Oreochromis niloticus: one gene and its partner. The protein of the gene in region 2 purifies or fractionates together with the protein of the main gene of each other region. This does not show direct contact. Links are inferred from orthologs where the notes say so. Each region holds a gene or a part of one and is shown on either strand. Other genes may lie near its edges.

The links.
Region 1: the proteins of coa3a (region 2) and cox4i1 purify together in Homo sapiens (affinity purification with western blotting; 3 studies listed by BioGRID and IntAct, with this or other methods). This does not show direct contact. The link is inferred for Oreochromis niloticus from reciprocal best matches to the Homo sapiens genes COA3 and COX4I1.

What each region holds. Positions count from the first base shown.
Region 1 is NC_031965.2:23,277,508-23,291,113, forward strand, and holds cox4i1 (cytochrome c oxidase subunit 4 isoform 1, mitochondrial), read right to left. Parts: upstream 5,466-13,606; 5' UTR 5,331-5,465; intron 4,573-5,330; 5' UTR 4,572-4,572; coding exon 4,496-4,571; intron 3,461-4,495; coding exon 3,296-3,460; intron 3,094-3,295; coding exon 2,962-3,093; intron 2,797-2,961; coding exon 2,660-2,796; 3' UTR 2,472-2,659; downstream 1-2,471. Other genes in the region: dusp22a (dual specificity protein phosphatase 22-A), read right to left, coding at 1-22, 779-799; emc8 (ER membrane protein complex subunit 8), read left to right, coding at 5,779-5,991, 7,367-7,443, 7,553-7,622, 8,875-8,969, 9,180-9,339; gins2 (DNA replication complex GINS protein PSF2), read left to right, coding at 13,327-13,416. UniProt on the Homo sapiens protein: Component of the cytochrome c oxidase, the last enzyme in the mitochondrial electron transport chain which drives oxidative phosphorylation.
Region 2 is NC_031973.2:7,303,871-7,316,265, forward strand, and holds coa3a (cytochrome c oxidase assembly factor 3 homolog, mitochondrial), read right to left. Parts: upstream 6,205-12,395; 5' UTR 6,065-6,204; coding exon 5,866-6,064; intron 4,846-5,865; coding exon 4,742-4,845; 3' UTR 4,372-4,741; downstream 1-4,371. Other genes in the region: wnk4a (serine/threonine-protein kinase WNK4), read left to right, coding at 1-541, 916-1,121, 1,223-1,317, 2,445-2,447; cntd1 (cyclin N-terminal domain-containing protein 1), read left to right, coding at 6,425-6,599, 9,459-9,534, 9,653-9,824, 9,916-10,078, 10,167-10,311, 12,003-12,093, 12,235-12,351. UniProt on the Homo sapiens protein: Core component of the MITRAC (mitochondrial translation regulation assembly intermediate of cytochrome c oxidase complex) complex, that regulates cytochrome c oxidase assembly.

The DNA of each region.
Region 1 (13,606 bases), on a different chromosome or scaffold from region 2:
CAAGGTAGAGTCCATCAACAACCTGTGAAGGAGCAGTCACAGACATGTTGCACTTAGAAGTTCATTACAATTCAGCTTCAAGAACCTCGCATGAAAAGAACAAATGTTCTAGTTCGAGCCAGATTGGATTTAAAGCTTAAGGCTTAAGATCCTAGTGGAGCTATGAGCAAAGGAAACGTTCCTTATGGCCATACAAGGTTTGAAGCAATGATGCATGGTTATCTGAATGATGTGATGGGTGGCAAACAGCCACTGAGTGTTACTGTACAGCTTTGGTACTATACCTATGAAACAATAGCTGTATGAAGGTAATTAAGTGCTGGATTGATTCTAATGAAACATTTCACTACAGTACCTGAACACTGTTGTGGCAGTTCAAAATAGATGCGGATGACCAATTTCATTTTTAAGAACAAAACAATATAAACAATCTTACTTTTTAATAAAAGCAAAATGAGTTAGATTTTTCTTTTTAGGAGGACCCTTTTAACTGTCAATTAACAATGAGAGTGCAATATCACAGCAACAAAACATGACATGCAGACACCGATGCTTAAGGTTGGCAAACAACAGTATTGAAGGTTAGAGTCTACCACAGGAGCCCTGGCTTGGATTCAAATTTGTTTTTTGTTTTTTTGACAGGGCAGAGCGTGTCACGTGATTGATTAGCGACGAGTGATTGGCGCCTGCGTTTACCAGCCACGCTTTGGACTTTTAACCATCAAAAACACCCCCAAACAGCGTAATGACATGACATAAACAACAACAGCAAACCTACCTTATTCATTCCGTTGCCCATGGTATCCCTGGAACAGTCTGCGGTTAGCTAAAAGACTTTAATGCGTTGAAGAGCAAGGATATGGAATCCAAAATGCGAGGTTAGCCTGTGTGACTGCACTGACTCTTTAAGCGGTTAAATAACCTTCGCTTCAGACGCTACTTTTGCCTCATATTTAACAGCATTATTAGATTAAACTGCTTTAAAACCACTTGTATTTGTTTTAGCTTTGACCTCGTTTCAGCCCCAACAACAGTTCCGTCATGCTGTGTCGTCTTCCGGATTATTTTGACGTGAAGCGGGTGCAGCTGCGGGTTCATCCGGCGTGTGACATCACAGCATGTTGCAGGCGACACAACAACTGTGCTTTCTGAGCTTACACCTTCAGGGGGAAGCTAGAGATAAGCTCACAATCAGACCTAGTATACAGTATAAGATTTAAACTTAATTTTATGAGGAACACAGAAAACCCATAGATATCGCTGCAATTTCGCCTCAGCCCCACCTGGATTTGAACATTTTTCGTAAACGGGGATCAAAGTTAACCCTGTATGGTTGTTTAGTCTTTAATGTTAGCCCTCTATGGTATGCTGATGCCTTCAGGCAGCAAACAACATTTTTGGTGATTATTTTTATTATTCTTTTGTGACACAAGACACCTCCGTGCTTAGCTAAACAACGAGTAGATGAGGTATTGATCTTTGATCTGGGGGTGGGGCAATCCTTTCCGGGGCCAAGTCTGCATGTGACACAGCTTACAGTCCTAGCTGCTGCTAAGTCTAATTTCATTTTTATGCATGTTTAAATTGAAATACGTTTTTATGGCAGATTCTGATTTAATTTATTTACTAAAATACCATTTTTGGTTTGTTGCCTCAGAGCAGTATTATGCAGTTTGGCCACTTTTCTTCAGGCAATAATGGTAAAACATTGGCTCTAAATTCTGGTCTTTGGGGCTGCCTGTGCTCCCATAAAAGCACAGGATGTTTTCCAATTTCTTGTGTCAATGTGATGTTTGTAAAGATATGACACACATTTCCCTCTCATTGTAATATTCATTACTCTCATAAGAGTACATTATGTACAAGAGTCCAAACATTCCTGGATCCAGATTTCAACGAACCAAGACATGCATCTTGTAAAAATTTTCATGCAAATTCCTCCACAACTTTTTCTGATTATGATAAACTCCATCACAGCTCGGTAGAGCAGGCCACGTAATTATTGGAAGGTTGGTGGTTTGACCCCTGTGTGCTCCAGTTTGCATTTCAAATATCCTTCGGGAACTAACCCCAAGCTGCTGTAAATGCGAGTGAATGTTAGAATGCACTTGCATAGAAATACCATTGTGCTTGTGCAAATGGGTGAACAGAGTTGTCTTAAGCGTTCTGAGTGCTCAGACAGAGTAGAAAAGGGCTATATAAGAACCAGTCCATTACACCCTTCAGCAGAAAAAGAAACAACCAAATAGTTGCATCTTATTTTCCTCAGAAAAACTGGAGCAATATTCAGCGGTCCATAGACCAAAATGTACTCAAAATTCAGGATTATGGTTACAGAAAATAATAAACAAACAGATATATATATTAGATATATTTCAACCTTAAGAATAATTTTATATCTAGCTGCCATAGTTTGTACCTGATATGTAAAATCAGTGTTAATGAAGGAGTCATACAGTTAACACAGTTAATCAGAAGTTTAACCAGTTTAACAATTTTTATTTTTATTATACACAACGACCTTAAGAGGAAGTGGTCTTCCAAAAATCACAGGTAATGTGAGGTAATGTGGACATCTGATAAATACAGAAATATATGTATTTTTGTATCTTTGAGTTGGTCTGCCTGTATATAGAACTGTTATGGTCCTCTTGGTCTTTTACTTTTTCCACTGCTTGTTTTCGTAGTCCCAGTGGGCTGAGAAACCCTGCACTGGGCCCATTCTCATGTCCAGCATTCTCTGCAGCTCCTTCTCTTTGTAGTCACCCTCAAACGTATGTGGAACAGGTCCATACACTGGAAAGAAACAAAAAAAAATGAGTCAAGTGATGAGCCAGATTATACCGCAAAAAATGTGTTCAATACTGCATTCTTTACTTAACCAACGTGGAAACCTGAGGCAGCTAAACATCAGATATTACACAGGTTTCCTTGCATATAAGCAATATTTTTCATAATTACCATATTTCCTCTGCCAAAGCACAACCAGCCCAGTGAAGCCAATGAAGAAGAAGACTCCTCCAACCACAGACTTCCACTCTCCTGATCCCTGGTTCATCTCAGCGAAGCTCTGCTTGAAGCTGATGCGGTACACTGTAAAGTGGAAAAACAACTCTAGATTACATTTTTTAAGAATTTGGAAACACAAATACTCTTGGAATATTACACCACTCCCATTATTTAGCATGAATTTAAACAATTTTAGTACTCGCTATCCTACATAATAGGAGTGGTGCAGTTATACATTACATTAGTATAAATGGGTGAACAACACTATAGCGTTATTGAGTCCTACATGCAATCTTCTCCTCATTAGAGAGTGCAACCCAAGAACCCTTCTCCTTCTCCTTCAGGGACTTCTGCTCTGCACTCAGGTTCTGCACATAGCTGACGTCGGGAAGAGGGCTGTCACGCCTGTCAAAGTATGCAGGGAGGGCATAGTCCTCAACCTTAGCAACACCTGCAGGGGAGACCACAGTAACTCATCAAATTACTTTCACACATAATCCCTCAGTTAATGTCAATGCTTTTTTTAAACCTTATTTTAGTTACCGGGCTTATTCCAAGACCAGATTCGTTTTAATTTTGTTCTTACATTTCTGCTCTCAAATGCTGGATCTAGTTCACTGTAGTGTTGTTTATCACTGTTTATCACTGTTTAGATGTACTGCCACTTGAAACTGCAGAACACTGCAAGTCAAACTGTGAAACTTGTCAACATTTTGATTGATATATTTATTTGGTGCAAGCTTGGTCTACATTGTTAGCTATCAAATAACATTATAGCTAACAAAATGTTAGAAATATTCACAGGTAGTATAAAAGATTGATAGTAGCTTTCAGGTATGAAAGGTGAAGCCACTGGATAAGTGCCTTAAACCTGCATTCTTTTTTATGGCCAGCAGTGAGGCCACTTCTCTGATTGGATAAAGACTTGTTAGATACAAGTTTATGGGAAAACAGCCCCATCCATGTCTTATATACAATTAGTGTGTGTGTGTGTGGGTGGGTTTCTGATTGTGAGCAGTGTTTAGTTTCTCATTTGGCCTATAATAAACTGCAACATTGCAGCAGCAACAGCACTCCTGAAAAGTCTGTTTTGTTTTGTTTTTGTTAATAAAGTAAAACCCAGCGTAATCTGTACTTAAAAAAAACATTTTATCTCTGTGTAATTTTGGATGTAAAACTGGTGCATCTTCTTTAATCTATTGCCATACTTACTAACTTAAGGTGTCAGTTACTAGAGACAAGTTTTTTTTCTTCACACCAGCCAAGCTCCCATTACATATTAGAAATGTGGTATTACAGGAAGAACATGGATTAATTTTACAACACAAACAGCTTCATTTATTTTAAATGGCCAACTGAAGGTACATTTTAAACGTTTAGGTGTATATGAACAGAGATTTCAAAGGGTCAGTGGCACAAGCAGAGTCTATTGTTTTACTGCCAGCCATAAATAGAACACATTCAATGTATTTCTTCTTATACCTACCATGTCCTCCACGCACACAGACAGATGTGGAAATGGCACGTTTGCCAATAAGGCTTAGGGCTCTGGTTGCCAGCATTCTGTGGAAAACGTCATATAAGAGAAATTAAGAAACCGTATTAAGCACTAATAAAGGTTAAATAACTTTACAATTGTTTCTGTCTTTTAATTTTTAAAGTAAACCCCGTTTCAATACGAGATCATGTACATACATAACAGAGAGTAAGCTGCACAGGGTAGGTGCTCCATATTTACATAGTACGCATCACAATCTTTTATAAGCTATTTATATACATAAAATCCTGACTCATTTTAAAATAAGTCAGTTACCATCAATATGTAAAATTTCCATACATGAAATAATCGTCCAGGTTGGTGGGCTTATTGTTAAGAGTGCAAAATGTTTGGTTTTACTACGACCGTCCAGCTAACCTGATGTTAGCATTAGCAACAAACACAAGGTCATAGCACCAGAGGATAAATATTCGTAGAAATACCAGATTCTCTGATGCGACCATGCAATATTCATCATTCTTCTATTGACTGAAACTACATTAATGCGTAATAACGGCAGATGACTAAAACATGTACTATCTTCACATCAAACCCGCCTTCATAAATCTGATGCTACATGCTAATGACAGCTACCCGGAACATTAGCCAGTCCTCGCTCCTATCCGCTCCGACAAAGTCACTACTTATTTCGGTTAAAATAGGCGATTCTTCGCAAGCCGTTACTTTTTCCTAGGATGCACATGACGTGGATGCTAAAATTATGTATATCTACGAAGGATAAGTAATTTATTATTGAGTTTAAAAAAATAAAATAAAATCATACCTCTTGTCTCTTTCTTGCTCCCGTACGCCGACAGTCTGAAGGGAAGTGTGACTGGGAACGGAAAAACGTAAATTGTGCGTTTGACCGGATGGACTCTGATCTCGTTTTACGACAGTTCTGATTTACGGCACCACCGGTGCTACAGCAACGAGTGGAAGGTGGAAGTAAGATTAGCTTCTGTGACTGCACGCCGACTAATTTATCCAGCATAAAAGGACTGCTGTCATTTCGGATAATTGTAGAGCTTAATGAACTCATCACAAACTGTACTTCCGACCTCATATCGTGGCAGCAAGTTAACTGCTGAGGTGTACATCTACTTTTCTCCGGGCATGTTAAGTAACGATAGCTAACGGTAGCAGGCAGCTGTCCCCCCCTCCTTATCGTCTAACTTAGCCACTCTGGCAGCTTTAGTCTTTACTGAAATTCTGCCGATTTTCTTATAAAAATGCCCATTCAGCTGACAAGTCAGACGTACTGTAAAATGCTTTTACATGCTGCCAAATATCCACACTGCGCCGTGAATGGATTGCTGGTGGCAGAAAAGAAGAAGGACAAAAAGAAAGACAGCCACAGTGAGCCAGTTCTGTGCGTGGACTGTGTGCCTCTGTTTCACGGTACTCTAGCTCTGGCACCAATGCTGGAAGTAGCCTTAACGCTGGTAAGTATCTGCATATAGAGTTCTGTGAAAAAAAAATATTTGCCCCAATTAAATAGAAAATGTAGGTTTTAAAGTGATGATTTCATTTATTGAAGTAAAAAAAATCACTTAATTCACTATCCACACCCAGGCCTGACTACTGTAGATCTGTTACAGCAAGAAATCACTTCACGTCTGTTTAAAAACAACTCAAAGTATTCCATCTTTCTATGATCTAAAGGCACTCAGAAGAAGAAAAAAAGTCACTAGTATGTGCTGGCGTGGAAAGGTTGCAGAGCAATTCTTGTTGTCATTAGAATGATGAGAGCCATTATCAACCAGTGGAGAAAACTTGGAACAGTGGTGAACCCTCTCAGGCTTGGCCAGCCTACCAAAATCACTCCAAGAGCACATCAGTGACTCATCCAGGAGGTCCCAAAAGAACCCCAAACAACTAAAGACCTGCGTGTCACAAGTGTCACTTGCTTCAGTTAAGGTCAGAGTTCATGATTCACTGGCTGAAAATGGCATCCATTGGAGAGCTCTAAGGCAAAAACCATAAACCTGTTTACAACTGGCATGAAACTACCAGAGAATTTCATAATATGAACATCATAACAACAATCAAACACAGTGTTAGTGTGATGGTCTGGGGTTGCTTTCGCTGTTTTAGGCCCTGGAAAAATGGCTACACTTGTAATTAGAACCATGAATTCTGCTCTACCAGAAAGTGCACTTGGGTTATACAGCAGGACAATAATCTGAAAAAAAGGAGGAAGTCCAGCTCTGAGTGGTTAAAAAGAAGTACATTCACAGAGTGATAGTTTTGAGGTTACCTAGTCAAAATCTGCACTTAAATCTGTATGGAATGCTTTGGCATTTCTCCAGTTATCACTTGACTTCAGGTCTTGCTGCCAAGGGTGGCACAAATAGTTATTGGGTTTAGGGGACAATAAATTTTTCACAGAGCCAGGTAGGTTTGGGTAGCTTTTTTCCCCCCTGACTAAATATTGTATTTTGTATTTACTCAGGGCATCTTTGTTTAATATTATCTTTTGTTTGATTACAAATTCTGGTTTAGACACTTGCCATCTAGTATGCCCTCTAAAGTGACATTACAGTTTTTCTTTCATTTTAAATGTTTTATTGTAGCAATTTGTTAGGTTGTGGTGCTGTTGAAGTATCCTGCTCTACTCTAAAATCCATTACTAATGTTGTCTCACTTTTATTTATGGTAGTGAGATTGGAAATAATATCAAATTAATGTCTGCAGCTCTGAAATAGTTATAAAGTTTCAGTCTAGCTCATTTTCCTATGTTTAAAATAAAATATACCTGACCTAAACTATGTTTCTGTTCTTATATCTCGACCTGATGGGCCCCTGCTCCAACTCCAGATTGACACTTGGTGTAAAGAAAATAATTATGTCATTGTCGGATATTATCAAGCCAACGAACGCACAAAGGATTCAAGGTAGAAACACTGGCGCCCTGCTGTTCCAGGGAAAAACAACCACTGAGAAACCATGCTGCATCCTGGTTTGGACTTCACTTTAATATATGCTTGATCTTTTCTCCTGCAGGCCCAACCAAGTTGCAGAGAAAGTGGCGGCCAGAATTTCTGAGAACTTCAGTGAAGCAGCAATTGTTATGGTAACTATAAATTATTGAGGCTGATGCAACTGGGTTACACGTTATGTTTTGGGGTTTTTTCTCCAAAGCAAGTGCTGCATCCATTGTTATAAATGCATCCTCTTCAGGTAGCAGCTGAGTTTTAGTTCAGTAAAAATGAACCAAAATCCTTAAATACACTTGTCAGCACAAGCCTCTATTTATGTCTCTATTTATACAGTAATATATAATATTGTATAAGTAGAGTGACTGATGTGGTTCTACAGGTTGAAAATAAAGCCTCAAAATTCTTTCAGATATTTCAGTGAAATTTGCTATAATGACATTTATGATGATGTAGAAAAAAATGCTGAGCCCTTTATAGGTGATTGCAGCTCGCAGACAGCAGGATTTAATCCATGCAAACAAAGTGTAGCACATCTTTCATCCTTCTTTTCCAATGAGCTGCTATCACTGATGACACACTGCCCAATTTGAAGTGTGAATCTATCGCCACAAGGTGCCAGCAGCAGCAGCGGCATTGTAGTGCAATAGCAGTGACACAGCAAATGTAAGCACAATATCCTCGCATTTAATAAATGACAATGTTTCGGTCCTGTTGACCTTCAGCAAGAGCCTGGTTGTAATTTTATAGTTTAAACGTATTAGCTGTAAGTGGGAGAGTGTGCGATGAGTTCGAATTGTTTCTGTGGAATTTTGTCACACGTTTGGTTGTGCAAAGATTTTGAATTAGTACTTTGAAACATACTAAAACTGAAATAAAACAAAATAATTTCTACCCAGGGTGCTTTTTTAACCAGCTGCTTAAAGTCAGCTGCTTTTCCACCATGTAACCGCATCAGTAATTTCTAGCCACTATTTGCTCTACCTGTCATTTGTAGTACAGCTGGCAAGTGCTCCAGCTCGACATATCCCCAGCTGCTTATATCTCCTCCTTACATGCCATCATACTCAACGGGGTGTTTTTGCCTCAAGTGGTGACACAAGTTTGTCGTTTCCACCTTTAGCAGGAACAGTTTTCTTCCATATTTTGCAAAGCATTGTTTTGTTGGAGATCATTGAAGTAGCTGCCTTTTTACTGGATCGTTCAGAGTCTGACATGCAGCTCTCAGTCTCAGACGTGTCTGGGCGAAATAATTACATGTATTATAAAATATATAACACTTTTTCTGAAAGACATTTTTCTTAGACCCTGGTCTGGTCTGCAGTTGTTGTTGTTATCACCTAAAAGTTGCACCTAAATTCACAGTAAATTTTGCGTGTTTTCCTGCAGGTGGACAGCAGTAAGTTAACAATGAGCTGTTCCGAACCCATCGTCTTGATCTATGATCACCATGAAAACAAGTGGAAAAGCAGAGAAGTAACGGCGTAAGTGTTAAGAGCTATTTTAGTGTGAGATTTTATCTCCCTCTGCCGACTATTTGTGCAGCTAGCTCGGAGCTTCCAGCATATTTACAACTCCAAGTGTTCTCTCATTTACTTGGATTATTTAGACAAAGTACATTACACTGTAATTACCCTGTATTTTCAGTATTAATAGCTTGAATATATAATTTTTTCAAAAAAACTGTTTTCCAGTGACTCCTTTGAGGACTGGAGCGAAGCACAGAAAATCACATCTGCCCTGCTGGTGGGCCGTTCCTATGAGAACTTGATTGATTTTGACAATCACTTGGATGATCTGAGGAACGACTGGACCAACCCTGTTATTAACAAGTCCGTCCTGGATCTGTGCTAAGACCTTCAGTCGGGAGTACCCATGACACACACATGCACGCACACACACACACACACACACACACACACACACACACACACACACACACACACACACGCAAACAAATATATTGCTGCCAATTCAGCATGCACACTGCTACTTGTGTAGCACAGGAGAATGAAAAAGCTGAACCTATAGTCTGTGTTCCATAAAAAGTCTCTCTCGCTGATGGGAACTTGTGGGGCGCTGGCCAGTTAGGCCAAAATGTTTTAAGGGCAAGCATCATATGTGCACTGTTGGCCCATGTCCACCTTTTACAGGTTGATGCTGCAGTGATGAAAGCTTTTATGGATTTTTTTTTTTATGCAACTTTGGGTTTTTTTCCCCTGCAATGGGTTTTGATATCCTGTTTTGTGTAAAAGTTTAGATTCTAGAGGTTTAAACCAATGCATTTGCTTTTAGCCATACAGAGATCAAGTTCTAAATTATTAATTTTTAGGTAATGATTTTACAACTGATAGGATAAATGTGTGTTCTTTATTAAATTTCTTGTTTATAAAAGATCTAAAGGAAAATTCACATATATAAGTGAAGTCTGAAAGTTTTAGATGACGCTGAACCAGAGATTTGGCCCATTCAAAAGCCCCAACTTTAATCCTTCCGTAGATGCATTTCTAGCGTGCATGCTTCTCGTTACTGCCACTAATGCGACGGAGAATGTCAGTCTGGATGATGCACGTGTGCATTTTGGCTCTTGATTTATGATCTGGAAGACCGGCTCTATACTGAATCAGATCACAGGAATGTGTGAATTTTGTTTTGTGTGGATATCCGTTCTAAGAACTAGATAAATTCTATGTTAACACTTAACTGATTATTCTAAATCCAAATATTAAAAAGTTAATATTTATTGTGAGACTACAGAAACACCTTTTGTAATTGAGGTTAGAATTAATCAGTTAATTGTGTCGATGAAACATTTTCTACTGCAATTGTTTTGAGCTGAATGTTCAATGAAACTGATTTTTGAAAACATCTACATGTTTCCCAGGTCTCTTATTGCCTCTTATGTGTTAAACTTATTAAGCTGTGTCTTATACAGTCATTTGCAAAAGGACTGTTCAGCCATGCTAAGGTAAAGTGAAGCCTTACTGCTTCTATAGGCTTAGGTTTATAGAGCTGCATTTGAACAAACTACAAGTCTTCTGGAACAAAGTCCTCTGGACACAAACAAAGAAGACAAACTGAAAACACAAACAGCATATCAGTACAAACACCTCATACCAACAGTTGCGTAATGGAAGAGGGGTGATGATTTTTTTGCAGCCACAAGACCTGGGCACCTTGCAGTTACTGAACTGGCCATGAAACCCTCTGTATCTGAGGCCATCTGTCTGAGAGCTTGGTCAAATCTGGGTCAAGGAACAGGACAATAATCCACAGCACAACAGCAAATCTACAAGAAAACATCTGAAAAAGAAAAGAATCAAGGTGTTGTAGTTGATCCAGTCCAGACCTCAACCTCATTGAAATGCTGTGGCTGGACCTTAAGAGAACTGTGCATAAACAAATATCCACAAACCTCAATGAACTGAAGCGGTGTTACAAAAAAACAATGGGTCAAAGTTTCTCCACGCTGTGAGCGACTGATAAACTCATACACAAAGCAAGCACTTCAAGTTATTGCTCTTAAGGTGGTTCTACAACCAGAGCCATGTGAAAGCTTTCTTTTTCACATGACTGCATCTCTGCCTTGACAATTTAAAAAAAGCCTAAAATCACTTTTAGAATAATCACTGCCCAGCTTTGGGGGTTTTTGTATGGTTTAGCAGCAGCCTGTTGAATTAAGGTTTTTTTAATAGCTTTATTCAAGAACAAAATACACAGAGTGCTTTACAGCACAGAGTACGATACAAATAAAATGGTATATTAAAAAACTAAATAAAAGCAATCCTGCATATATGGGTCTTAAGTTTATTTTTAAAGATATCAAGCAGTCCACAGACTTTAGATCCAGTGGAAGCAAGTTCCATAACTTTGGAGCCACAATCACCTTTTGTCTTTAACCTGGACCAAGGTACAGCCAATAACCTCAGAGTGCTAGACGTCATGAATTGTTACAGTAGCTGCGGTTTTCTAATAATTTAGTGGTGCAAAGTTCATATTCGCACGTGTCTACAGATTATTTCATGCTTTGTGACCATTCCAATCTATAGCTTCAGTCTCCCATACTCTGCATAATGTAATTCTTGTAAAATGAAAACTAAATGACAGTGTGGTCGTATCTGAAGCAAGACTGTGATGAACTCATGGAAGTTTTTAAACAAATGACACTGTATATTTTCCTAATATCCGTATTCATTTGATGCTACTTTCTACTCCAGCACATTAAGTGAGAAAACAGAAATCTGACAGCTACTTACATTATTTTTAAATGTATAAAAAGCTAATAAAGTGGTCCCTACATTGACTAGTTACTCTTACATGCTACTTACACACTGCCATATCAGCAAAAATAAATAAATAATAGTAATAAACAAAATAAAACATGGAATTAAAACAGAGATGTTAGAGATGTGAAAGTGGTTTAAATTGTGAATGTAGTATTCTAGTTTCAGTAAAGATAAGTACTTCTTCTATCAGTGCACGAAAATGAACTGAAACTAATTCTAACTACAGCATGGGTGTATTTCTGCAGAAATACCTCAAGCACAGTCCACTGACAGGAAATATTTGAAGTGGATTTGAGAGCAGATGTTATTAAAATAAATGGTTTGGATTCATGAAGAAGTTTCATTGCTACTTTAAATAATAGATTGCGGTGTCTTCTGTCAATTTTCTTTGTTCGTTTTATCTCAGCAAATTTATTTGAGATGTGTGGTGTGAATGTTGTGAGGCCGTTTGTACAACCCAGGAAGAATCCTTTGGATGGATTTGTTGATCCCAAAAGGGAAATTACTTCAGCAGCAGAAAGAATAAAAATAAAAACAGTATAATGAACAACAGAAATATTTTTAAAAAGTACGATAGGAAAACACCGAAGGCTGTAAAATGTGAAAATTTCATGTAAAACTGTGATAAAAAATGAAATATGAATGAAATAGAAAACATAATAAGACTGAGGTTATGTAAAACAGAATTCTGCAGATTGGTAATGCAAGAATGGTTCTTTATGGCAACAAGGTTGAATAAGTCTGAGGGAGAATGAGCTCTGTAGTGTAGAAAGGAGCAGGTGTGATGGGTTGTCCATGATGTTCAGTGACCTCCTGTCTCTCACTGACCCAAATGCCTCCAGATAGACTGATGATCCTTCCGTCAAAGCTGGCCCGGATGCTGGCACAGACCGTTAGAAGTTCTTCAACATCTTGCTGAACACACTGAAGGATCTGGACTTCCTCAGAAAGTAATCTGTTGATCCCCTTCTTGTACACAGCATCGCTGTAGGTTCTTCAGTACAGTCTGTCACTGAACACCAAGTATCTGTTGTTAGCTGTCCACTGATTCAGCCTCCTCACCCACGATTCTAATGGGTTTAGACCCAGTCACTGACAAAAACATCTTTGTTCTCACATGAAAAAGGTCACTGCCACCTTTCTTGTTATTGCCTGGTGAATGCTGCCATCTGGTGGAGTTTAGTTGCAACTGCTGTCATTGTCACATGGCCCACTTCCTTCTTCCGGGCCAGACAAAGCTAAACTAAAATTTAAGGTATGGTCAGCTTCGTCACGGCCAGGCCCGCGCCTCAAGCGTAAGTTAACAATTTTAAAAATGCAATTTCCACCGAGATAAGAGAAATTATACAGAAAAACAAAAAATAAAAATGTGACGTGCCGTAAAACGGCACACAATAATGTTCACTTTTGCGATACTGCGCTTCCTGTTGATGACGTAGTTGGCTTTTTCTTGCCTTCATTGTCGGTTTATGCTGCCTTCAGCGCGGGAACGGTTTGTAGTGCAGTTCCAGTGGGAAGGAAGTTTTTGAACACACATACAAAAAAACAAACAGATATGGATCCTTCGGAGGTCGAGTTCCTTGCGGAGAAAGAGATGGTGAAGATAATACCAAATTTCAGCCTAGATAAAGTCTTTTTAATCGGGGTAAGTCAGCCGTGTCTGTATTTAAGCAGCTGGTTTTTGACCAGATACTGAGACGTTGACAGTCACTGTAGAAATATTAGCTAAACCTTGTGCTAAAACCTTGTGTTATATCACGACACACTCAGTATAAAGCTGAAGGTATGTATGTATGTAAAGATATTTCTGTTTGAGTGGATCACTTCACTCAGCG
Region 2 (12,395 bases):
TGACGCCCAGCATGGACATCCCTTTGCCTGATGCGCCTGCACCTGCAGCCCCCAAGCCCGCAGAGAACAGCAGCAACCAGTCGGAGAGCAGCACAGAGGAGCAGGGTGAGTCTGAGGCGAGCCTGGCCACCTCCCTCACAATGACCCCTCCTCAGCCACAACCCCGCAAAGGTTCTTCGGGAGTCCAACAGGAGGCCGACGGGCAGGCTGGATGGGCAGTCAGCCAGAAGCAGCAGCAGGAAGAGGAAGATGAAGATGAGGAAGAGGTTATCGGGGAACAGCCGAGGGGGAGGAGGAGAAGCCGTCGAAGGGCGTACAGCCTGAGCCTACTGGGAACATCTGCAGACAGCGGGCTCTCTGTGACGGCTGCTGATACAGAGGGGAGGCTATGGGACGGAGCAGCGGACAGTCCACAGTACACCAATGCCCTTCACAATTTATGGATGATGACTTATAACCGCAGTGCTCCCTACCTAAGCAGTGATGACTCAGACAGTGAAGATGAGGACATGCTGGAAGAGCTTCAGGAGCTCAGAGAGAAGTAAGTGACACCACTTAAGATAGTTAAGGTAACAGAGTACCAAAAAAAGCTGTTTGAGGAACATTTTAAACTGTTTACCTAGACAAGCTACATTATGAGCATTCATATCTGGCAGTCTTTTGGGTATCAAATTGAGTTTGAGAGCACTGAAAAAAAATTGCGTCTGTTTTGATATAAAGAATAACAAGGAGATGTCGAGATTTGCCAGACAAGAGAACAGACTTATTGTCTTTACTGTAAACAGATTGTGTTTAGATAAAACCCCCAACTCTCCCAAAGTCATGTTCAAATGCAGTACATAACTTAATCAAAGGCCTAAATTAAAATTCTGATTGAGTGAGTCTTTAAATGTGCTTCTTTTTGTCCTTTATCAGACATCTGGCAGAAGTTCTGGCCCTGCAGGCTGCCCAGAAAAGAGAAATTGAGGAACTGTATAAGAAGATGGGAAAGGTCCCCCCTCCGGGCATCGTCTCTCCTGCTGCTATGCTGTCCAGCCGACAGCGCCGCCTCTCCAAAGGAAACGGTTTTCCTTCGTCTCGCAGGAACAGCCTTCAGCGACTGGAGATGTTACCGCTTCAAGGTAACAAAGAATATTCCTTTCTTTATTAGAGTTATTATCATGTAAATATGCAACAGCTTCGAGTCTGAATGAGTTTTATAAGTCATGTACTGCTTTCCAAGGTATCATTAGGAGAAACTCTCTTGGAGGCAGCAGCAGTGGCTCGCAGGACAAACCTTGCAAAGGCGTCACTTTTGCCACAGACCTAAGTAGAATGGTGAGTCAGCACTTCCTTAACAAGCTTTTGAATTATATGACAAATGAAACAGGGTGTCTGCAGGTATAAACAAGTTAAATTTAGCGATTGTTTGCACATTAATTAACATAAACGCACAGGTGTAGCCATAAAAACCAATTCATGCCTTTATTTTAATGCCGTTTTTAAAACGCCATTAAATTCAAATTAAGAAAAAACTTCCAATTGAAATTCACATAAAAAATGTTTTTTTCCTCTGATGTCTCATCAACATGACAGTGAGCTGAAATGCAAACATGGTCCTCCAGTTGTTTATTATTATGAAAACAAAGTAAAAATATTATTGTTGATCCAAATTAGATTAACCAACAAAGCCTGAACCACCAAGAGTAATTGTTATTCTCGTCGTCATGTCTCATTATCCTCATATTTGTCACTAAACTTTAAAAGCATCTTCAGGGTTTCCATTAAATCCCTGGATCTAAAACAGTCTGTATGCAAAAGATGGCTTCTGGGTCTGGAAAGTAAGGGAATGCTGAAGACCCTTAAACTTGCATTATTTCTAATGGCCAGCAGGGGGGCAACTCCTCCAGTTGGCTTGCCTTGACATGTGACGTCATGAAACACTCAATTCCAAGTTTTGTGTCTTATTCAATACAACATGATGTTCATTTTGTAAATTATGATCCCACCCAGAGTCAGAATGGAGGATAAACCGGAGTTACATCCATTAGTCGTTAGCCTACCAGTGTGCAGCGTCCATCGGTTTCTCAGATGTTTCAGAAAGCCATCTTAGAAACCGAGCATTCACTTGCTAATGGGTCATGACTGCAAAAACGCTTAGCTTGAGGCTTCAATTACTAATGGGTGATGTCACAATTACCACATCCATCTTTTATATGCAGTCTTTAGCTTAAACTGTTACATCCATTAAATCAGCTAATGTGTTTTATCATCCAACTGTTACTGCTAACTGTTTCAACGCCTATTAAAACAGCCTGAAAGAGCCTAATACATCGAGTTACATTTCCTGACCTGAATGTGTAGAGGAGGCAAAAATGTCAGGAGAGGTTTATACTCATAAGAACCTGTAGCCACCCTTTAACCATTGTCCTCCTAAATCGTATTCTTATATTTCACTTTTCTAGTAACAAACTCCCAGCCAAGCACGCCGTTATTTGGACTACCTCATCTGAAGTGTGACTGCAGTGGTCAAACCTGTCCCGTAGGAGGATCGCTTTAACCCTGGCACACCTATCTGCAAACTGCTCCCTGTCCGCCGGTGGCCACTTACCTCAAATGTATAGAAACTCGTCACCAGTGGAGCTGGATTTGCACAGAAAGTGTAACCTCCAGATTTCAGCCCACCATCACGACCTGGTGAACTTGTTGCAGCTGAAGCACAGAATAGCAGCCAAGTGACACGTTCGTGTCTGCTCTTTGTAAATAAACTGTCAGATCCCAACGGTTCAGACGTAACCACCTTCATTCCAGGCTGCCGCAGTGCTCTGCACAGTGTCGCATCACGACATTATTTTTATCTTTTTGCCTGAACGCAGTCAAGCGGCGGTATGCTGTGCCGCAGCTGCCGAGTTGCAGCACTTTACCACGATTTTGACGCAGAATGACAACAGTTGCTGTTTTCCTGCTTGTCTGACTCACTGCTGTTAATCCAGTCTGAGCACAGAAATGTGAACAGTGAGGCTGACACACACACACACACACACACACACTGACAGCTGTTACACACCTTACTCGCTGTAGTTTGGTAAAGATGTCTCAGCAGCTGCACAGTGAACATACTTGGGGTTTTTTTAGTAGAACTGTGATCAATGCCTTCCAGGGGCTTCATTCAGTTATTTGTTGTAGTCTTTATCTGGCTTCCTTTATTGATTTGGACACCTATATTTTCTCTAGACTCAGCCTGGAGATGTTTGACTGCAATCACTGATATTTTCAGATATAGTAAAGGTAATTTTTTTTTTTTTTTTTTCTTTTTCTCCATTGTACAGCTGTGTAGTAAGATATCGTTTCCCAACAGTTAGAAATGTTGTACAATTCTTCAGCAAAAGGGAAATCTGGCTTTAAACACATGAGCAGAAGTTCAGTTAAATGGTGCACAAGTGTAAAACTGTTACGCATCACTTTCAAAATCTGGTAGCTGGTTTTTTAAAAGAAAAATGGGGAAAGGATGGGGAAAAAAATCCACCTAGACTTTATACTACTGGCTTTCCTGTTGACTGTACATGTGTATATAATGGAATTCATTTATAGATCATGTTTACAATTTAGGAGCAAATTAAATACTTCAGCTACCTTAATCCTTTCTCAAACAAAAGTCTAATTTGTCGCTTGTTCCATAGACCAAGCACCTTGTGCACTTTAGTAAATCCACTTGTAGTTCTCAGTCAATTAACACAGTTGTGTGTAAAACTATTCACTCAAGCGAGAGCTGACGAGTTTTCTGTCATTTTTTCCCCCCCACAAGGGAGGTAGATAATCTCCCGTTTCATGTTTGATCACAGAAGTGATGATCTACCCACCCACAGTTTTAAACAATGTCTATTTTTGTGGGGTGTAGAGGAATCAGTCAAAGCTGTGAATCTGTAGCTGTTGCCTTAAAATATTCCCATCACACACTGAATTTCTTGCCACCTAAACTCCCGAATCTTAATATATTCAAGGAAATAAAGTTTCTAGTCCAGATTTATTTGAATGTAAATATATAATTGTATTGCTTCCTGAAGCTGCTGTCCTGCCATGCTGAATCTGTGCCTTTCCCTAACAATGTCTTATTTTGCTCTTGAGATTTGGTGGCTAGATCCAACTCCATATATTAAATTTTGATGAAAATAAATGCGATTCTAAGTATTACGGTGTCTTGTGTCATGTTTACGGTTTTATCTGTGTCTTTTTCTTAAATAAATGGTCATACAGAGACATAGCTTTTAAACATTCTAATACATGAGGCTTTTATTTTATTTCATAAATCAACTTTATCAGCATAAATAATGTTATTTCTGCAGTGTCACTGGCATTCTCTATTGTTGAAGGCCACTGTAGATTTTTAAGTCATTGATTTCTTTTTTATATTCCCTTTACCTGATGTTTCCAGCCCCAATTAAAGTAAAGGGTGCTGATTGTGCTACAGTGTAGCTTCTAACGTCATGATCAAGTCAGTGGATTGGTCCTTTCCACTGACAGGAAAACTTCTTCAAAACTACACCGCACTTAGTTTTAAGTCAGCCACACAATTGCCTTCAAATCGAGACCAGTTCTTGATTGGTTGAACTGGATCTTGGTCAAGATCCAGTTCTCTCAACATTAAAAAAAGAATACAGCAGCCAGGCAGCCATGGAATATGATCAGTGGCATCATGAGTCCTCCTCCTTGTTAAGTGCAGGACAGGAACAAAGTCCAACAACAAGCAGATGACACTTAAATCTCAGTTGACACCGGTTTTTGGTCCCTGCATTCTCGCACGCTTGGCCTCCTCGTCGATCTCATCCATGATCCGCTCCTGGGAGACTGAGTAAAATGTGTAGCCGTCTAATTTGGAAGCACGTGGTTAAGAGAAATATTTGAAAGCATGAAAACAAAACAAATTCCCTGAAATGAAGAAGAATTATCTGTTGGACAGATGGCCACAGATTTGACACTAGAATACTTTGGTATACAGGGGAGTTTATGATAAACTCAATGATTGCAAGGTGTCCAGATCCTATGGTTGCAAAACAAGTCCAAATCATCATACCTCCACTGTGCTTGACAGTAAGGTGTTTGTACTCATATGCTGTGCATTACTGTCAATCCACTTTGGTCTCGTCTGTCCAAGGAGTCATATGGTTTGTTCAGAAGCAACTTTGCAAACTTATCAAGTACATTTGATTAACAGCACCTGGCTGCTACTGACGCGCTTAACTCCCATAAGAGTTGTTACAGAAATGGATGCAGTAATGGAGTAACTAATAGTTTTATTGTTATATTAAACAACTTTTTTTTCCCCTGGCAAAAGCTTTGTTATCGACTGTATAAAACTACTTTTTATGTAAAGACAACACCTAGACGTCTAAAAGGACGAAGCTTTCAGATTTCGACATCTGTCATTACAAGCTGCCAGTGATGCGTTCAGGAAACACGTTTATCCCAAAAAAAACACGAGGAAGTATCACTGCTTTCAGGTAATGAATTTCATTGATCAACAGAATAATAAATTCCTTCAAACGAGGTGCTCCAGAGGCCACTTTTCGTTGCCATCTCTAAAAAGTTAAATTACTAACCCTGGAACTCTCTTAATTAATTCTCTTTTAAACGCAACAACACTGATGTTTACCTTTGGCAGTACACTTTTACAGCTACCTGAGCTAGCTGTCACATTAGCATTCAATGAAACTGAGAGCTATTACTCTAACTTAATTCTAAAATTTGGACTGAGCCCATACATTTGTGTTTGTCTTAATACTTGGTAAACGCGCTTAACCTAACTCCTAAACAGAGGACACAGCTTAACTTTAGCATGCTAAGCTAACGTTACATAGTTCACCTTGCGTTGACGTTTGACAAGGATACAGATTCCCAACACGAGCGCTCCGATAGCGAGTCCCGTCACCACGTTTCGTGTCCGCAGCTTCGACGTTCTCCTCTTCCACTGTTCTAGTTCCACCTGTCTGATAAAATGCATCTGATCTTGAGAAAGACCCTCTTTGGTTGGGTCTATCCTGGTTGCATATGGAGCGTTGGATTTCTGAGGCGGCGTTTTGTCGGCCATATCTGCAATTTGTGAGGTTAGCACGGCGCTTTCACAACTGTTACACGCGCCGCTGCGTTCTAAACACTCTGCTCTGTCAAAGCGCGCTGCATGTGTCCTATCCGGGTGTTATCAGATCTGCGCTGAGAGGAACCGCCACAGAACCAACGTGTGCAACTTACAAATGAGTCGCTGAAGTAGTTTTTGGTTCCTGTTAGAAAACGGTCCTACGGGGGAAACGTGCGGGAATAGCGCCATCTTTTGGAAAATATAAGACGCAGGTTATTTATTTATGGGTGTCTAGTTTTGAAAAATTAAATACAACTTAAGCGTAGTCTGTCACATAAATGTAGCTGTCTGTCGTGCTCAGAGTAATTTAAAATGGCGAAAAGATTATTTTTTTCTCCAAGTAAAAGTAACGCAGCAGGTGTAAAATTCGGGGAGGCCTCTTTTGACCTACTGACTGATTTTCTTGTAAATCTGGACAAAAGAAACAAAGATGACCTCCCGAGTTTAACGAAATATTGCGGGAATTTCAGAAATAAGAGAGTCATTGGTGAGTATTGCTCAATGTTATTATTTTGTAGAAAACATTTGTTTGTACTCTTTTATTCGTAACGGTAATTAAAAAATATATATCGCAAGATTTTCAGCTGGAATCACGTGAATAACCGTTTTTCTTTCCGTTATTGCCAACTGAAATTTATCAATGAGCCAAGTAGAAGTTTTTTTTTATTGTTTTATTATAATGTATTTGGGTTTTTTAAACCTTCCTCCAAATTTCTGAGATTTTATCTTTGTTTTTTGTTTGTTTATTTGTTCTTTAATTTTAGATGTGGTTGTTTTGTGTTTGCAATTCTTTGTAGATTTTTTTAAATGCTCACTATTATAGATTTTGTTTGTTTGTTTTGTTTCTTAACATGCCTCACAATTACAGATTGTTTATTTATATTTTTTGTATTTTTTGTTGTTTTCTCCTTTCCTTTTTCATTACTTTACTCTTTGTTATTTTATTTGTAAGTCGTTTTTCTTGTTCTTGTTGTTGTTGTTGTTTTGTAATGGTGGGGGAAGTTCAGAATGACATTATCAGATCTGCGCTGAGAGGATATACTACACAAATTTGGGGTATATGAAGTATACTATACTTTATATATCCCAAATTTGAGAATTTTCTGTGATAAAAAAAAAAAAAAAAAAAACACCAGGTCATTACATACCCTATAAAATAACTTAAGTGAAATCATATAACAAAATAATATATAATAGGCCAGAACAAGTGAGTTCAATAAGAAAAAAATATAATAAAGAAAAGAAATCAAATGACCCAAATAACTCAAACAACTCAAATGTTAAAAATCCAATTAAGTTAAAATTTTAATACATTGAAATAAAGTGACAAGAAAGAACAATTTAATTAAATGCTATTTTTGAAACTGAAAAAAAAAAAAAAGGTTTAAAAATAGCTCAGTAAATTCAATAAAGCAGGGGTTTCCAACTCCAGGCCTCAAGGGCCAGTGTCCTGCAGGTTTTAGATATCACCCTGGGTCAACACACCTGAATCAAATGATTAGTTCATTACCAGGCCTCTGGAGAACTTCAAGACATGTTGAGGAGATAATTTAGCCATTTAAATCAGCTGTGTTGGATCAAGGACACATCTAAAACCTGCACGACACCGGCACATGAGGCCTGGAGTTGGACACCCCTGCAACAAAGCAAAATAAAACAGAAAAAAAAAAATGCTTACTAAAGGCATTTAAAAGAAAAGGCACAGCAGAAGTATTATACCATGAAATATACTGCTAGCATAAGAGAGAACAGCTGGCTCTCTGCTAGACAGATGTGTTGTAAAGAGCCACACTACAAACACAACACTTTGTGAGGCCAACTGTCTTTTTATAGTCTTGTAAACGCCCAATAAACAAGTGCTAAAGCAAACTGAGGCTGGCTTCAATGACAAACTTGTCCAAACTGTCAAAAACTACAGCTAAAATCATTATGTATGTTTGGATTACTTTTATTTAATATTCTAAGTAAACAAAACATCTTTGGTTATGAAAAATAAATTAATTTATTGATTAGACTAAATCAAGTTTTTAACATGTTTTTACTCCTATAGTTGTTCATTTAATTTCAGTTAACTGTAGTGACCTTGCTCAGATAAAAATAATGTTAAAAAAATAGTCCAGATGAAAATAATGCAGACTTAAAGTAAAACTGCAGCATATCATCCATGGTAGATAGACTACTATAAACCACTACTGTGTACACACTAGACTTACAGCAGAGTGTTTCTTGTGTATCTCAAGCCTTTGGGGTGAAGTCTGTCTTTTGTCAGCAGGTAGTGACTAAGCTGTATAGGACTACCTCTGAATGGCCCACTAAGCCTCATTGCACCCTGTAATCACTCTGAACTCTTTCATACATCTGGATCTGTGAACCCTGTCATTATGGAGGTCGATTCACAATATAAACTCCTTGAGGCAGCTGAGTCTACCAGCTAGGAGCATCTCCGCAGACAAATCCTGTGAGAGAGGATGAGGAGGAGCAATGGAAAACAGTGATAATAACTTTTAATGAATCCATATGCTTCCTTGTAGCCCACAAATCAGCTAAAATACAGTTTATATGGCTAGATTTATGGGAACAGCCTTGTGAGGAGTGCTTATCAGTGTTGGTTTCACCTGTTATTGTCAAATGTTGCAGAGATGAGGACCTAAATGTAAAGTCTCAAGTAGGCAAAGGGAAACTTAAAGCAAGCCATTTATTGAGTTGCTTTAAATCCAAAAGATGCAACATTAGGTTCAAAAGGGAAACTGAAAGCTAACCTGCTAAAACCTTAAATCTGAAAACACACGAAGGCTGGAAAGCAGGTAGAGAAAGGTGAGCAGACACTCTAACTGTATATACACAGGCAGGCAATTTGGAAAGGTAGGTATAAAGGATGGACAAAGCTTTGTAGGATTAAAAAAAGTGTGGCCAACCCAGAAGTGGTCTAAACCCGCATATTTTAAATATCCATAACGATTTCTCCAGCTCCAAAAAGACTTTCAGTCCTATAGTTGTTTATGGGGAAACAGCTCTGATCTCTGTAATAACTTCCTGAGGACTTTATGGGCTAAACCACTAGTTTCAGGTCAAATGAGTGAATCTTTGGTCTATTCTAAAAGTCAGAAAGGAAAAGTATCCAGGATATACTCACTGGCTAATGGCTTTTTGAGCACCAGTCCTTAGAATATGTGATTAACTGAAGGTAGACTTCTCAGCAGCTCTTAAACTGGAGAACTCACATCAAACTAGTATAGAAACATTGGCAAATTTGAATTTGGGGTCAAGTGTCCCTTTAATGTTGCTTCTAAATTATTTTGAATGTTTTATGTTTTGCTCTTGTGCCTTCCTCTCCTGTGTTACTCAGAGTACATCTTACTGATAACTAAAGAACTGAGACTGGATCCGCTGGCTGGCTACCACGCTGTTGAATTACTTCAAAGGTATGATCACGCAGCACATGTAACTTTCCCTGTTGGTTACACCCTGTGTATTACTGGTTTTAGTCATACTTAATATACTGTCACTTATAATAATAATTCTAATAATTATCTTTGCCAGGTTCATGGTCAAATACATTGAAGATTACATAACCACACCCACACCTAAAGGTGCAACTTCTAATCATCCGAGACATTATGAGGATGCTGTTTATAACAAACTGAAGGACAAATTCCCGCTGATCATCTTCTCCTGTGTCCAGCTTGCGAGCAAACTGTCTCTGCACAGTCATGCAAGTTCTGCCTTGCCAATGATTACTTATGTCAATTACCCTGAGATCACAAATAGAATAATCTTGCATAATTTTTCCACACCTTTTCCAGATGATTGACAACAACACTGCTGTACATTTTCTACACTCAGTCGGCTGCACTGTATCCAAACAGGCTCTCCTGGAATCAGAGCTGATGGTCTTGAAAGGGCTTAAATTCAGACTAAATGTCCTCAACCCACTGACTTATGTGGAAATACTTCTGGAAGTTCTCGGTAAGGGTCCGTGTATGCACAGAAAAGTTTATTACATATTATAAATATTAATGTCAGGGCTTTGAGATGATTACATAAACTCTTGTAGGACACAATGAGCCATCAATCCCTTTGAAGCACCTTTATCACTACTGCCACCATGTTCTCCAGTTTATCAGCCTGGAGAGGACTGCCATCTATGAAACCTTGTTAATGGCAACCACTGAGTGTGTCAGCCCATCCAGGGAACAGAGGTATTAGATTTGGCTCTAAGAAAATATTTCTGATAGATGGTAGAATGGACATGCAGCTTTGGAGTACATTCAAAGGTCAGATGGTCCAAATCACTTTTGTGTGACCTTGATGGGAAATGTCATGAGATCCATTAAAGATTTGAAGAATTCATAAGGACTCAGGGAAAGAGAACCACAGTGCTCAGAGAATCTGGCTGCACTTGCATTAGCTGCTTAATAATGTGGCCACAGATGTTGGATACATAGGTTTTTGATGTTAAGACAGCAATGTGCTGAAATCTGACTACAAAAGGTTCATCCTATATACTTTGCCCTTTTCACTGTCCTTATAATACTGTTTTATACGGCTCATATAATAGAGAAACTGTGAAAATATGACTTCATTACTGAAGTTATAAATTTAAATAAAAAGAAATAAATGGCCTATAAAGTGAAATGAAATGTTTGTCACCCTGAGATTACTTTCTCATCCCATCAGCTCATATTTCCAGATCCAGTGTAATTCCTGCCTATATTAAGGCTTTCTCTGACTGAAGTTAAAAAATTTCATCGCAATCATAAAGGTTGGCAATACAGCAGCAATTAAACTGAGGACATAACTGACTGAGTTAGCAAACTGAATTACAATAAACCTTAAATAGCTCATCATCCTGATTTAAAGACCCTTTTCCTTTTTTTTACCTTCTTCAAAACTTAGCAGGTTATGGCACAAAGTTGAACATACAATTAAAAAACATTTACATGATCTGCATTACATACATCAGTCATATTGATCCTTTGGTCTGATGATGTATTGCTGTGAATTATGGGACAGCTTTATCTGCTTTCCTTTCATAAAGGTTGGTCTGCTGTATTCTCTGCTGAAGGAGGTAATACAGGAAGCCCTGAAGCGCCATTCTTTAGTATTTAGAGAATTCGACCAGCTCTTTTCTGGTTGCCACACAGATACTTCAGTGTCACTTCACTTAATTCAAAAGCCTACAGCTCGTCAGGACTACTATTGTTCATAATAATTTAAGATGTTGCATCAGAAATGGAGTCTTGTTTCCATCCATTTTGTTCTGCTTATCCAGTTTAGAGCGGGTGAGAGATGCGGTACAGTACACATTGGACAGGTCAGCAATCTGTTGCAGGGCTAACACAGAGAAACAGCCAACCATCACGCTCACATTCACACCTACAGTCAATTTAAAAACACCCATTAACCTAACCCCATGTATGTGTTTGGACTGTGGAGGGACCCAGAGTACTTGGAGAAAACCCACACAGACACAGGGAGAACATGCAGACTCCACACAGAGGCCCCAGGCTGGATCTGAACCCTTCTTGTCCTCTTGCTTGCAAGTAAAAACAAAAACGAAACCCCAACATTTTTTTCCATCCACCTCAAAATTTCAGGTTACTTTCTGAAAAGTTCAGTTTAGTTCAACTTAGTGATTTTCTCTCAAGTTTGAGTTATTTACCTAAAATTTTGAGACTGTGTTTTCTAAACTGTGTAAACTGTATGTTTTTTTTTAAACAATGCTGGGAGTGAAAAAATATTTGTAATTAATCAACCAAAGCGGAGAGCTGAAAGACTTTTAATGTCACAAGAGACTGATATCAGTATATAGAATTACCCCATCCACTGTTAATATAAATGTTTTGATTTTGTGTGATTTAATATGTCATCAATCATTTGTGAAAACCAGGGAAAAATTTGTACCAGTGACTGAAGACTGTATGCTTCTGGGTGTTGGTGTCATCGCTGTGGCTGCATTCATCCTCAGAAAGTGGGAAGAGGTAAAGTAAAATTTCTTTTTTTATATTACACCTACAAACAAAATTGTTGTCACTGTTAAAGGTTCAAATAACATTTTTAAGTCACCTACTTGATTTCAATTAAATTAAATCTGAATCTAATCTAACTGTGTTTAACTGTAGGTAGTTGGAGAACTGAGCCACATCACAAGAATCTCAAAGAGAAGCATCACTGATTTCGCTCACGCGACTTTGGTGCACATTGTTGGCATCAGCTCCAGTATCACTCCACTCTCATGACTGGCATGAGAAGAAAAAAATCTGTGTGCTGCAATGAAATGTCA